2 linked regions of the Lonchura striata genome follow. The protein of the gene in region 2 purifies or fractionates together with the protein of the main gene of each other region. This does not show direct contact. Links are inferred from orthologs where the notes say so. Each region holds a gene or a part of one and is shown on either strand. Other genes may lie near its edges.

Region 1 (7,064 bases), on a different chromosome or scaffold from region 2:
AGCAGATTCAGAGATTATTGCTTGTAAAGGATTTAATACCCAAAGCTACAGAAATGGCCAGAAGACTTAGAACTCTGGATTCTAGGAGGATACAGCTGATTAAAAACTATTTGTTAACAATCTTAATACCAGCATTCCTGTTAAACAGAACAGTGAATTCAAAACAAGAAACACCCAAAGCAGTAATCCTACAAGTAAAAAAGAACAAGTACAAACCTCAAGGAGACAGGAGTTCTGCAACAGCAGTTCATTTCCCAAAATTAATTACCAACAAGGGCAGCAGAAAGGAGTTTATAGTTACCCAGAAGTGTGCGTGACAGTTAACCATCATGGTCCTCTCAATAAGCTCATCAGGACACTCCAGAAGATGGTGCCCGGAGACCACACCAGCATTGTTAACCAGGACAGACACCTCGCCAACCTCCTTACGGACCCTCTCAGCTGTCAAGTAGACATTCTCTCTTTTGCCCACATCACAGGTGTACGTGTAAACCTGCAAGTTGCAATGGGGCAGCACATCTTTCTCTCCATCTCCAGCCACTAAAGAATACAGATAAAAGAACAGAAGGGGTGGGGGGCAATAAGGTTCTTGCTCATATATTGACATTCAAACAAGTAGTTCAAGCAGAAATAGCAAATACAATTTCAAACCGCCAAAACTTTTATTTACTTTGGTGTCATTGCAGTACACCAGGAGTCAGCTATTTACTAACGCCGCTACGTGTTTTAGGAAGAGCTGCAGGTTTTAAAGCCGCTGCTGGGGTCCGAGGCTCCGCGAAGCAGGTCTGCGCTCATCGCTGCCGGCACAGGGCCGGCTCTGGCTCGCAGGAGCACCGTCGGGGCGTCTGACACTCTGCGCCCGGCGGTCTCCAGCCCGGAGCTGCTCTCAGGGCCCGCCGCAGGTGAGCGCTGCTCCGGGCTGGACCCGCCGGGCGCAGCCCCGGCTCCCCCTGCCCCGGGCCGGGCAGGTGAGCGGCGGGGACAGCGCGGGGAGCCCCGCCGCTTACCTCCGGGGGCGGCGGCCGCCGCCTCCTCGGCCATCTCCCGGTAGATGTGCCGCACCATGCCCGCCGTCTCCTCGTTGCTCTGCGTGTTGATGTCCCACAGCACCAAAAGCGCCCGGCGCCGGGCGAACTCCAGGGCGAAGAGGCGGCCCAGGCCGCTGCCCGCCCCGGTGATCAGGCACACCTGCCCCGCCACACTTTTCTCTTTGGGCCGCACCAGCCACTTGGCCGCGGCCAGCACGAACGCCCACAGCACTCGGAAAGTCACCACGAAGAACTCCAGTAGGATGTTCATGCTGCCGGACCGCGGGGCCGGCGGCACGGAGCCTCCTGGCCGCCCGGCTCCCGGAGCTGGAGCCGCCGCTGCCCGGACCGCCCGCCGCGGGCACCGCGGGAGGCTCCGCTCACGGGGGTCCCGCCGCCGAGCTGCCCCCCCCCGCGCCGCTCGCAGCCCGCGCCCGCCTCAGTCACACACGCCGAGGACGGAGCCCGGACACGGCGCTGCCTGCCTGCCCACCGCCTGCCTGCCCACCGCCTGCCCGCCCTGCCCCGTCCCGCCCGCGGCCCCGCTACTGGCAGTGAACATCTTGCTCGCTCGGCCCCTCTATATAGGGCGGACCGGGAGGCCGAGCCCCTCCCCCGGGCCGGCCCATCCCGCCCCGCATTCCCGGGACCCCCCGCCCCTGTCCCGCTCCGCCCCGCCGCCGGGGGAGGTCCCCGACGGGAACGGGGACGGGACAGCCGGTGCTTTGCGCTGCTGGGGGCGGGCGTCCCGGCGGCTCCCGGCGGCTCCAGCCCGCCCCAGGACTACAAGTCCCGGGGTGCGCCGCGCCCCGCCGGAGCGCCATCTCGGGCGCGATGCCGCGGCGCGGGTTGGAGGGACGCGGACGGGCGCTGGAGGTTCGTGCTCGGGGCTAGAGACGCAGGGAAGCTGGGAGCCCACAGGAACCACTGGGCTACCGCAGGATGCACGATGCCCGCGTGCCTGGGGATTCTCTGCTGAGCTGTGAGAAACCGCTGAGGGAAACGCCCATGACTTCTTGGTCTGTCAGCCAAGTACAGAGGTCACTGATATCTCACCCGCCACGGACTGAAATAGGAGCTCACAGGTGCCAGCACACGGAAAGTATTTTCTTCTGTGCGATAACAGCGGCCGCTCCCTGTATCTGGGCTCCCTGCGGCCACCCGGCGCCGGAGCATCCCGCTCCTCCATTTGCCAGTTCCAGAGGATGAGGACGAGAGCGTGCCCTTGGGTGTGCAGGACTCATCCCACTGCCTCTGCTCGCCTGCATCCCTGTGCCTTAAGTGCACGACGCTGCGCTGTCTTCCCTGTGTAGCTGCCAGTTGTCAGAAAAGTTGGAACTTTGTGAACGCTGCCTCTCGGATTGAGCAGAAATTCAAGTTCAAAAGTTTCAGAAGAAAGTGCAGACTTCTTTCTTCAGTAGATATTTGCGGGTGGTTTTGCGTGCTGATTTTAATCCCCCCCCCCCCCCCCTATAATATTGCTAATAAGATCAAGTGATACAAATGTCTGTATTAGCACAAAATAACATTATAGTAAAAAAATGAACATTGATACAAAGCACTCTCAATAACGTTCTCAGGCGTTAGTGCTGTGCGACACCTCTGCGTGCTGTTAATTGGCAACAAATAAGGTCAGTAAATGCAGAGCTCGGCATTCCTTATGCCCCGCCCTGCTGTCTACACGGTTTTTTATACCGGATAGTGCTTTGCTGCTAAGAGTTCCACTAATTTCTCTTCTCCCCGTGTGAAAATCACCTCTCAGGGTGATTTTCGGCGCACAGGTAGGCGCGCACAGGATGAGACTTAGGAGCCACAGCCTTAAGCAGCCTTCCAAGCTGCTGTGCTGGGCAGCGCTGCTTCCTGAGCCACCCTCCCTTCTCTACACTGCAGTTACTGATTCTGTATGGCGAACCGAAAAGATGTCCAGCCTGATGAAAACCCATCCCGGCAGAAACGGATCCCGTGGTTGCCATTTGCCCGTGCGTGCCGGTGAACCATCCTGCGGGCAGGGCAGCATTCCCATCCAGCCTCCATTCCCGCCGCGGTGCTGAGCGCGGGCGGGAGGTGGCGTCCCGCGGGCGCGAAGGACGGGGTTTAAGGCTGAAACGGGAAATCCTGCCTCAGACAAGACGGCTGGCAGCACCCACCCGGGGCTCCTGCTCAGCCTCCTGCAGGGAAGGCGGGTCTGGTGGCGGAGCGGTTCCCGCCCGGCCCGCGATACAGCCCGTGCTGGGGACACAGCCCGTGCTGGGGACACAGCCCGTGCCGGGGACACAGCCCGTGCCGGGGACACAGCCGAGCCCGGGACACAGCCGAGCCCGGGACACAGACCGTGCCCGGGACACAGCCGAGCCCGGGACACAGCCGAGCCCGGGACACAGCCCGTGCTGGGGACACAGCCGAGCCCGGGACACAGACCGTGCCCGGGACACAGCCGAGCCCGGGACACAGCCGAGCCCGGGACACAGACCGTGCCCGGGACACAGACCGAGCCCGGGACACAGACCGATCTCGGGACACAGCCCGTGCTGGGGACACAGCCGAGCCCGGGACACAGCCCGATCCCGGCTCACAGCCCGATCACCGGACACAGTCGATCCCGGCACACAGCCCGATTACCGGACACAACCGATCCCCGGACACAACCGATCCCGGGACACAGCCAATCCCGGGACAGAACCGATCCCCGGACACAGTCGATCCCGGGAGAGAGCCGATCCCGGGACACAGCCCGATCCCGGGACAGAACCGATCCCCGGACACAGTCGATCCCGGGAGAGAGCCGATCCCGGGACAGAGCCGGTTCTGGGACACAGCCGATCCCGGGACACAGCCGATCCCGGGAGAGAGCCGATCCCGGGACAGAGCCGGTTCTGGGACACAGCCGATCCCGGGACACAGCCGATCCCGGGACACAGCCGTCTCCAGCCCTGCTGGGCGGAAGCAGTTCCCGGACACTTTTACCTCAGGCACTCGCTGGACACCCCGGCACTCGCACGGCGGTCGGGCACAACGGAGGACGTCCAAACGCGGGGTCCTGCCGGAGGGCAGGGCCTCGGCTGCGCGGGCCAATGAGCTAAGAGCGCGCCGCGCAGGCGCAGGCCCCTCTCTTCCGGCGCTGACCATGGCGGACAAGGAGTGAGTCCCGTCCTGCCCGCTGCCATCCACCGCCATCCGCGGCCATCCGCGCCGCCCGAGCCCTGCCCTTGCCGCCCCCGGGGCCGCCGCGCCTCCGCAGGGGCTGGGAGCGGTGGGAGGGGAGGGAGCGGCGCGGCGGAGATGGAGCCACCACCGGCCCGGCCCTCCCGCAGGCGGCGGCTGCGGCCGCCGGCCCTCGGCGGGGTGGAGAGGGAGAGCGGGCCCCGAGCGCAGCCGTGGCCGGGAATGTGGGGCCGGGGCGGCGAGTTCCTCCCGACTGGGCGAGCGGGCAGGGCTGTGTTGGGGTTGGAGCTGGGAGCGACTGTCCGTCGGCCTGGTGTAGGCGCTCGTTAGGGTGACTGTGGCTCTATAAACGCTGTGTTGACAAGTTTTGTCGTGTCTAAGAGTTTAAAGTCTCCGTGACGAGAAGGAACGGGGTACAAAGTGATGTTTAGGAAGCTCTGCCTGAAGTTGAGGAGGAATTTCTTTTCCGTACGGGTGACCACGCACTGGAACAGGTTGTCCAGGGAGGTTGTGGAGTCTCCCTCTTTAGGGGTGTTCAGAACCATGCAGCCTGTGCCGTGTGCTCTGGGACGGTCCTGCTTGAGCAGGGAGGTGGGACCGGATGACCCGCTGTGTTTCCTTCCGACATCACCCACCTGTGATAGTCTGAGCAAGCTGAGAGTCCTGTCTAATAAATGACACGGTACTTCCAAATAAGCTTTTCCTGTTCAAGCACCTGTTGAAGTGTATATTGATCAGAGAGAAGTTATCATGAAAACAACTTTGTTTTCTTAGCAAGGGAGGACAGTCTTTGTAGTTACGGTTGTGTCTGTCAGGGTTTCTTGTCCGGTACAAAATGTGAATGGTGCATGTTCTGAAGCAGAAAATCACCCAGTTCAGTCCCAGGGAGCTGTCCCGGGATGCTCTTCCAGGCCTGGGAACAGTGAGGATGAGGAAGATGCAGTGAAGTGGCTCAAGGTAGCAAGGCCTGCACACATGTTATGCTTGAGGATTTTGATATTTGCACTGCTACTGAGTTTCTTTCTACCAGCTAAAAGCTTTTATTTCTGTTTCCGTTTAGAGTAAAGAAGGTGCCCTCTGTGCCTGAGAGCCTGCTGAAGAAGCGGCAGGCCTACGCGGTCATGAAAGCCAAACGTCAGAAGAAGATCTTGGCTATAAAAAAGGTATATCCTCTGATCCCTTGACTCAAATTGCTTATCTGCTGCAGTAGCAGCTGCTGCTGCTCTGATGCAGTACAGAAATTCACAGTATGTCAGTATTTCTTTAAGTTTTAGACTAAAATTGGTTTTTAGTGGCTGATAACAAAGTTTTGGGCAGAGTTAAGAGTAAAGTGTCTGTAATGTTGTACAGGGCAAGAGGTTATAGCCTTTGTAAGGGGGAGCTTGATGTGTGATTAGAGAATCCTAGAACTGTCAGAGGTTGAAAGGGGTCTTAAAGATCACCTGGCTCCAACCTCTGTGCCAAAGATCCAGTCACACCTGGCTTTGAACACGGTTAGGGTTGGCCCATCCACAGCTGCCCCAGGCAACCCATTCCAGTGTCTCACCATCTTAATACAGCATTTCTTCCTTAATGTCTAAGCTAAATTTTTCGTCTTTCAATTTGTACCCATTATTCTTCATCGCCACAGTGCTGATGAGTAGTCAGGAGTAGTAACATCGGTTGCTGTGTAATAGCCTGCCAGGTTCTCTGGAGCATCACTGAGGGTTGTTCTGAGCTGTGTGATACTGATCTGTGTTACTTGGGGGAAGTTCTAGAACATGGCATGTTACTCAAAGGTGATTTTCATGTGTTAAAAGGCATTTTGTAACTTTAAGTAATTTCCAATTTATTGCAGTACCGCAAGGCACAAAGGAAGCTCATCTATGCAAGAGCCCAGGCTTACCACAAGGAGTACAGGCATATGTACAGGCAGGAGATCCGTATGGCCAGGATGGCCCGGAAAGCTGGCAATTACTACGTCCCAGCTGAGCCAAAACTGGCATTTGTGATCAGGATAAGAGGGTAAGGTTGTGTACAGATACAGGCAATTTTATGTTCAAAATTACTGACTTTGGCTTTCCTGTTATCTCTCTGTTTTGAGGGCTTAAATATATCAACAAGATAAGCTTTCTACCAGTGGCTTGAGAAGTTGTTGGTAGATACTGTACATGCTCTTGAGGGGTGTTGAAGGGCTAAATAATTTTGCTGCCTGCTTTAGGAATACCTGATTTTTAAGAAGACAAAGCTGAAAATACATGCAGGCAATTATTCTTTCTCACCTTTAACTTCATAAAACTACATGCTCTATTCCCAAATATTCTGCTGAACTGTTCTTCAAGTGTTTGTTTTGTTGTACTCTGGTAAAGTGTTCAGAAAACTAAAAAATAGATGTGATTGGAAGAATTATGTTCAGGACAGTGCAAGGCTGGTTCTCAATTGTTTCAGTATAATACTTACCGTTATTTTCATGGAAATGGATGTTTTAACTTTATACTGGAATGTATAGCAATAGTCAGTTAATTTACTAAGCTTGCTTTTTGTAATTCATGAAATGTGTTTTCATATGGGAACAGTGCTGTTGTGTTTAGGGGTTGTTTTTTAGCCTGATGCCTAGCTGCCTGGGATGTTGATAATTCAGACTGTTTCACTTTCTTCTCCAGTACCAACGGTGTCAGCCCTAAGGTTCGCAAGGTTCTGCAACTTCTTCGCCTGCGTCAGATTTTTAATGGCACCTTTGTAAAACTCAACAAAGCCTCCATCAACATGTTGCGGATTGTTGAACCCTACATTGCCTGGGGGTGAGTGAAAGGCCCAAGGCCCAGTTGTACCTTATTAGGGTGCAAGTGTTGAGCAGGTTTTGCATTTTGCTATGCTGGACTTGCGGGGTTTATC
Region 2 (7,537 bases):
ACACATTCTGAAGAATTATTCTGAAATTACGATTTCTATTAAAGAACATCCTGAAGAATTTTCTCTCAGAAAACAGAAAGGTTTAAACAATGTGTCTAGACTGTTTGATAGTTATGTGGATCAAAACTACTCCAGTCCACATGGCACTTACAAGAAGGACACTTACTGGAGCACAAATGTCTTGTGTTTGTGGTGAAAAGTTTCTCTCAAGGACATAACTACATTACTGCAGTAGATTTAGTTTCTGAGTTCATTTGATAAATAACAGTAGAATGTTACTATAATTCTGACAGTTTTTAAGCCAAGTTTTCTTGATTTGTATCTGGAAGAAAAGGACATACCCTCCTAGCCTGATGTAAGTAGATAAATAATTTTTAAAATAAATAAATTTTAAAAAGCTGATCTCATAAAAGTGACTTGTGCAGCTGAGCACAATTTTAAAACTGTATCTAAAAAAGCACACTGTTAGAGATGTAAATATCTCAAAGTTCTAAATAAATTCACAGAATCACAGAATATGCTGAGTTAGAAGGGACCCACAAGGATGCTCAAGTTCAAATCCTGGTCCTGCACAGCACCATCCCCAGGGGTCACACTGTGTGCCAGAGAGTGTTGCTCAAACACTTCATGACCTCTGTCAGGCTAGTGCTGTGACCACTTCCCTGAGGAGCCTGTTCCAGTGCCCAACCACCCTCTGTGTGAAGAACCTTTTCCTGAGATCCAGCCTAAACCTGCTCTGAGTCAGCTTTGTGCTTTTGCCTCAGGTGCTGTCACTGGTCACCATAGAGCAGAGATCAGTGTCTGCCACTCCTCTTCCCCTCACAAGGAAGCTGCAGACTGTAGTGAGGTCTCCCCTCAGTCTCCTCCAGGCTGAACAGAGCAAGTGACCTCAGCAACTCCTCATACAATTTCCCCTCAAGTCCCTTCACCATCTTCATTGGCCTCCTTTGGACACTCTCTAATACTTTAATGTCTTTTTTTATATGGTGGCATCCAGAACTGCCCCCAGCACTGGAGGTGAGGCTGCCCCAGTGCAGAGCAGGACAATCCCCTCCCTTGCCCAGCTGGCCATGTTGTGCCTGATGCCCCCCAGGACAGGGTTGGCCCTCCTGGCTGCCAGGGCACTGCTGGTCATGTTCAGCTTGCCACAGACCAGGACTCCCAGGTCCCTTTGTGCAGGACTGCTCTGCAGCATCTCATTGCCCAGTCTGCCCATACATCCAGGGCTGCCCCATCCCAGGTGCAGAATCCAGCACTTTCTCTTGTTGAACTCCATATGGTTGGTCATTGTCCAGCCCTCCAATTTGTTGAGGTCTCTCTTACAAATGTCTGTAGAGCTCTTCCGCATCAAAACCTCATAGACCTGGGCATCACAAGAGAAATAATTTTAGATCTTGTGACAAAGTACTCTGTTGAACTCCAAATACCCTTGAGAACTTTGGAGCTTTGCATATAATGAAACACTTTTACAGCTTAAGTATTTTCAAGAAGTATTTTTGAAAATTGTTAATTACATTATGCAGTTTTGAGACTCTTCAGCAGTATTTTTATTTCTGTTTTATGCTATGCATATGTATTCTTAAATCATCAGCTGTGTTGCTACAAATAAAAAATAAAATTATCCTACTTTAACATAAGTAAATCAATCATTACACCCCCTGCATGTATGAACCAAAGTCCACACTGCAGATGGAATTGGTATGATTCTTAATTGTGTATATGCATGAATGTAAATATCAGAGCCTTTATGCTCAAGCATTTTAGGGGTTTTTATGACCTCTTTTGCTCATTAAAATTAAGAACCTTTTCATTTAATTATATTATATTAACTATTTTCCTGATACTAGGTTTGGTGATTGCTTGAAATGCCTCATCACCAGAACTTAAATTGTTTTTGTTCCTGAGTTGTTGAACAAATTTTTAGTGGGCTCGTTCAAAATCTCAACTGCCACAACCTCAAAACCTCAATCAATTCCACACAGACTGCAGGAGTGGGATCCTCAGTACCAATGGGAAAAGAGTTTAACTGACAATCATGTCTTGATGCTGATCTTGTGTTACTTTTTTTCCTTCAGTTACATGCATGATTTTAGGTTATTTTTGGATCAAATTCCAAAGGCCTCTTGATGCTGAGCACTATAAAATCTTAAAAATTTGCTCTCCTTACTGCAGTTGAGAATCCAGTGTTTGTTATACATGTATCCTTAGAAAACACCTGAAGAAAGCTAGGTATCCTGCAATTGGAGCTACAGAGCTTATATGCTGTGCCACTTAAAATTAGAATGCTATTTCTAGCTTGTGGTATTTGACTACCATTGGAAAATTCTGGGAATAAATATCAAATCTCTACCTGTCTAAAAAGTGCTTTTATGAGGTGCTTATCTTAAGATTTAGGGTTTGAATAATCCCCCAAAACATCTAATAACAAAACATCCCCTCAGACCATCTAATAATGGATTAATTGTCTTCAAAACAGCAGGAGAAAGCGGGGTGCCAGTAACAGCTAAAGAATAAAATTCATAATTGGTCCTTGGTGCAGAAATGGTGACCCAGCTCTTTTCCTTCTCATCTGACTGACTTAACCACTGAAAGAGGTTACACTTTTCATGTTTCTTTGGTCCAAAAAAAGCTGTCTTCCTTTTATGCAAAGAAAGACAGCTTCAACAGAAAAATGAAAAGATGTGAAATCTGGAATAGTCTGTAGTCTGTGAGTTTAAAATTTTCCTGGAGAAAATGAACAATATATGCAATGTAGCAATTTCCCTCAAGCAGGAAAAGTGTAACAGAACCCACATCTCTTCAACTATTGTACAAAGGTGTTGGGGAGCAGGAGGAAACTGTTATATGTTTTAAAAGAAAGGAAGTGTCAGCTACATATTTATTGATCTTTCACATGTTCAATTACCACACTAACTAAATAAAAAACCCGAATGCTTTAAAAATCCCTCCATCTAGTTTTTGGATCCCTACTGGATTTGAAGTGTGTCCAGCTGTGCTGGTCTGTCAACACTGAAGCTTTTATTGACATGTGCAGACGTAGGATGTTAATGTGAAGAACCCAATTCCCCTGCTAATTGTCAGCTGAATGTATTTTTTTCAGAACGAGGATTTTGCAGCTAGGTGTCTAGAATCCCTTCAAACCTTTTCTGAGGACTGGCACACAGAATGTTTCCAATAATAGTCCAAAGTTGTTAATGTGATCTGTAATAAGCGTTTTGCTTAAATGCAAATATTGGAACCTGAACAGATGCATCAGCAAATGTTAAGTGAAAAACATAACAGCAGATGGAACAGCTTTATGTATTAATATAGTGATTATTTTTCTCTTTCAAAGGCAACGTGATTAGCTGTAATCATTTGTATTTTAGGCTCTAATTGTGTAAACACATGCTTGTATGTTTTACATTTTATATAAATATTACATTTACCTCAAGGTTATTTGATACATCCAGTCAGAATTACTGTGCATTTTGTAGTGTTGGGATCCTCATGGGGAAATACACCATTTAAATAAACTGCAGTGTATTTGTTTTATTTTGCTGTGCAATGAACAGTTACAACTGGAACAAAATTATTAACTTCAGATTTTATTCTCTTACAGATATCTCTGTTGTCCCTAATACTGTTTTGGTTTTGGTTTTTTTCTTCCTTTCAGGATGTTAATGGCCTGTGTTACCCTTCAAACAAAAGCCACCAACAGACTTTTGCCTACTTGATTGTGGATCCCTGCAAGCGACACGTGAATATTCTGTATCACTGTTTCGGTGAAAGCCTATTTGCAAACTAGTTATAAACCTGGCTGGTGCCCAGTTTTATAATGGAGATTGCCTTCTTTCTGTTGGGCTCAGGTAGACATTGCATAGTTTTCTGACGAGGAAAGCTCTACTCCTTGATGATGTGCTCAGAAGTAATTGTCATTCACTCAGATGTTAATGTGTGGTTAATGACAGTAGTTTTCCGGTATGTGTAGTTCTGGAAGCTGTTTTCTTGGCCGTTTCCCCCCTTCCCTCACCCGTGTTATTTAATAAAAAGTATTTCTCTAGAGGTCTCGTCATTTTTATGAGCCTGCTTTACAGACCCGCGACGCGTATCTGCAGGGGAGACTCTGCAGTCGGTGAAAGCTCAGCGGAATCGGGAGATAGCACGGAGGGGACCGGCGGGAGGGGTCCCGGCCCGATGGCCCCTCCGGGCCGGTGGCAGGGAAGCGCGGCCGCCCCTCCCAACCCCCTGGCGAAGCGGCCTCCTGGAAGTTGGGATAGAAGTTCGGGAGAAATAAAAGTTCTGGTTGGCGGCAGCGGGCGGTGCGGGGCGGTGCGGAGCCGGGCCGGGCCGCGGGCGGAGCGGGGTCCGCGGGGCCGCGCAGCGCCCCCAGCGCCCCGGGCGGGAGGCGGTGCGGGCGGGCGCGCGCAGCAGCGCTGCGAGCACGGGCTCCCTCGCTCGGATACGGTGCGGGCGGGCTCAGGAGGGGCGGAGCCGGCGGCGGAGAGTGATTCGGGCGGGCGTAACTGCGAACTTTTGTTTGGTGTGTTGTGTGAGTTAGTTTCCGCCGCCGGGACAGAGGCGCCGGCCGGGCTGGGCCGGGCTCGGGGAAGCGCCGCACGGCCGGAGTTGTTTTGCCAGTTGCCGCGGGCGGGTCGGCTTCCCGACCGAGGGGTGAGAAGCACCGGCGACAGCAGGACGAACCCGCGGCCCGGGGAGCGGGGCATGCGGGACTGGGAATCCGGGCTCTGAGCCGCCGAGCCCCGCCAGGGAAGCGCCGGGGGGTCCCGACGGAGCCATGGATCCTGGGCAGCCTCAAACGCAGCAGCCGCCGCAGGCGGCGCAGCCCCCGGCCCCGCAGCAGCAGCAGCCGCCGCCGCAGCCCCCTGGCCCGGTGTCGGGGGCCCCGGCCGGCGCGGCGCAGCCCCCGGGGGCTGGGCCCCCTCCGGCGGGGCACCAGATCGTCCATGTGCGGGGCGACTCGGAGACCGACTTGGAGGCGCTGTTCAACGCCGTGATGAACCCCAAGGGCGCCAACGTGCCACACACGCTGCCCATGCGACTGCGGAAACTGCCCGACTCCTTCTTCAAGCCGCCCGAGCCCAAGGCCCACTCCCGCCAGGTGAGGGGGAGGGAGGGCAGGGGCCCGCGCCGCGGGCGGGCGGGGGCAGCCCGGCCGGGCCGAGCTCCCCCTCCCCGCCGAGCTCCTCCCGGGGGAGGCGTGTGGGGGAGGGGGCCGGGGCGGGAATCCGCCAGCGGGGCGGGGGGCGCCCGGCCGGGGCTCTCCGCCGCCCCCACACCCCTTTATTTGTTCTCCCCCTGGGGCAGGGCCGCCTCCCGCGCCCCGAGACGCCGACGGGGCCGGGACCCGCGGCGGGAGGGCGGGCGAGCGCCGGCCCCGTCCCTGTCTCCGGCGGGGCCCCGATCTCCACATCCGCTCCTTGGCCATCTCGGCCTCGACCGTGGGGGTGAGCCCCTAAAACTTGGGTGAAAACGCTTCGCTTGGAATGTCGCTTTGCGGTACAATTCCCTGCCCTCTATAGAAGGGGTCGATGAAGTGGTGCCAAACCTACACCCCCTCGCCCCGTCAGACAGTAAATATGGATGTGATTTTCCACCATTTCAGGACGGCGCTGTTTTGAGTGGGATTAACCCCCCACGTACACACGCACGCACATCCGAAGTTAATTGCCGAAGCAGACGCCGGGTCTGCCGGCGTTCGGGGTCCGCCGGGCGCAGCGCCCGCGCCCCGGGCAGCGGCGACTGCAGGCTGCGGCCGGGGCTCGCAGCCCTGGGGCCTCGGCCGCGCCGGCCCGGGGAGGGAGCGATGCGGGGCAGGGCCGCAGCGAGCGGGGGAGGGATGCGGGGCAGGGCCGGGAAGGGGGCGGGCCAGGGCCGGGGGGAAGGGGCGATGCGGGGGCAGGGCCGGGGAGGAGCGGGGTGGGGTCTGCGGGGCAGGGTCTGTCTGGCCTCCGGCAGCGTTTGGTGTTTAAGCAGAGGGATTTTTGTACCAAGACCTAAGTGCTGGTGTGAATACGAGCGAAAGCTAATGATGTTAACCAGCGTTTTGGATGGAGACTGTGCCTACCTAGTCAAGTGTTATTAAGTAATGAACTTAGTTACTAAGCTATAAAATAGGTTGTATTACTGGCTGTTGTCACTTTATCTATGTAGCCAGTAAGGGTGAAACTCGCTGTGTACTGGTGCCTGGTACCCGTGTTGTTAAGGGTCTGTCAACATTTCCATTATTAAACTTCTGTTTTGAACGATTTATAGCTTGACTTCAGAAGTTCATTCCAGGCTGAACCTTGGCACGTACTCTCACAGCCTAGGAGTTAATTCATTTTCCAAATACTCAAAAAAAGCAGTCTGGCCTTCATATAGGAAGACTGAAAAGAAATTGGAAGGGGTGGAGCTGATCTGCCTCTTTAGTTTTGCTAGCTTTTGAGTTGCAGACCTTTAATAATGTACTGAAATCCAGCAAGGAATAAGGGTTTATGTATAGTGTTCTCCCAACTTGTGCAAATCTCATTGCGGTTCCATTGTGTACAAATCTGAATGGGTAGGCATTTGTCTAACACTTGGTGCTGTGTCTTGTTAAATACATTAACTGCAGTTAAATAGCTAACATGTTTGAAATGCTCTAAAAGTGTGTGATAGTCATACAACTTTCGGTTGTACTTTTAGGCTTAGCCTTACATTCCTTGTGTATGTTAATCTTTGCCTGTAAATCATACTTAGTTCGATCTCTGTTCCTAGTACCACTCAGTGGTTCCTAAAACATAAACTTGGAATCCAGCTAAAGCAAGAGAGAATCATTTGCTTCATTGTGGACTATTTTCATTTTTCCTTTTTGTTTAGTTGTGCCACATAAACATTCTGCTTAAAGAAAAGATTTCTATTTTCTATAATTCTGTGATTCTCAGGAGTTAAAATATTATAATTCCACTTGATTTACTACTTGCTTCTTTTGTCTGCATATAAGTGAAAACTGATTTGTTTCCACTTGAACACATGGAACTTCATGTGTGCTTGAAGGTTTCCATTTGAACACATGGAACTTCATGTGCTTGCACACATGAAGTGTGAGGGAGTGAAGCAGAAGTGTAACAGTGTGTAAGTGGGTCCTCTTATGGTGCAATACCTTGTAGAGAGGTGTGACAGGGATTGATACATGCATCTCATTATAGATGCCAATGTTGTTCTGGTCTGTCTATAAAACCAGTTAATTGGTAAATATATTTTTAAAAGCCAATTTTACTTTAACCAGGTTTTTAGACCTGCCTTTTCTGTTCCATGTTGGGCATATATTTAGTACTGGCAAGGACTTTCTGTATATTTATGAGTGGTGACTTCTGTGAATGGGTTTGTGGGTCATTTCTGATTGACTGGTTCAACCTTTTGCTGAAGCTTTGCTTTGGATAAAGCATGGATAGACTGTAAAAGTTTGACTTAAAAATTTTAGTTATTAGGAAATGTTACATTCAGTCTTGTTTAGGTTTTTTGTAATGGTTGAATTAATAAGTCTTCCTCCATTGGAACTCACTGCTGCCAGTTT

The links. Proteins that work in one complex are often made in the same cells at the same time.
Region 1: the proteins of YAP1 (region 2) and RPL7 purify together in Homo sapiens (affinity purification with mass spectrometry, with the first as the bait; 3 studies listed by BioGRID). This does not show direct contact. The link is inferred for Lonchura striata from reciprocal best matches to the Homo sapiens genes YAP1 and RPL7.

The regions. Positions count from the first base shown.
Region 1 is NC_134603.1:32,484,225-32,491,288, forward strand, and holds the start of RPL7 (large ribosomal subunit protein uL30), read left to right. Parts: upstream 1-4,058; 5' UTR 4,059-4,152; coding exon 4,153-4,166; intron 4,167-5,250; coding exon 5,251-5,353; intron 5,354-6,027; coding exon 6,028-6,194; intron 6,195-6,832; coding exon 6,833-6,970; intron 6,971-7,064. Other genes in the region: RDH10 (retinol dehydrogenase 10), read right to left, coding at 302-540, 1,008-1,299.
Region 2 is NC_134604.1:42,218,612-42,226,148, forward strand, and holds the start of YAP1 (transcriptional coactivator YAP1), read left to right. Parts: upstream 1-4,519; 5' UTR 4,520-4,777; coding exon 4,778-5,101; intron 5,102-7,537. Other genes in the region: CFAP300 (cilia- and flagella-associated protein 300), read left to right, coding at 3,656-3,787. UniProt on the Homo sapiens protein: Transcriptional regulator with dual roles as a coactivator and corepressor. Critical downstream regulatory target in the Hippo signaling pathway, crucial for organ size control and tumor suppression by restricting proliferation and promoting apoptosis.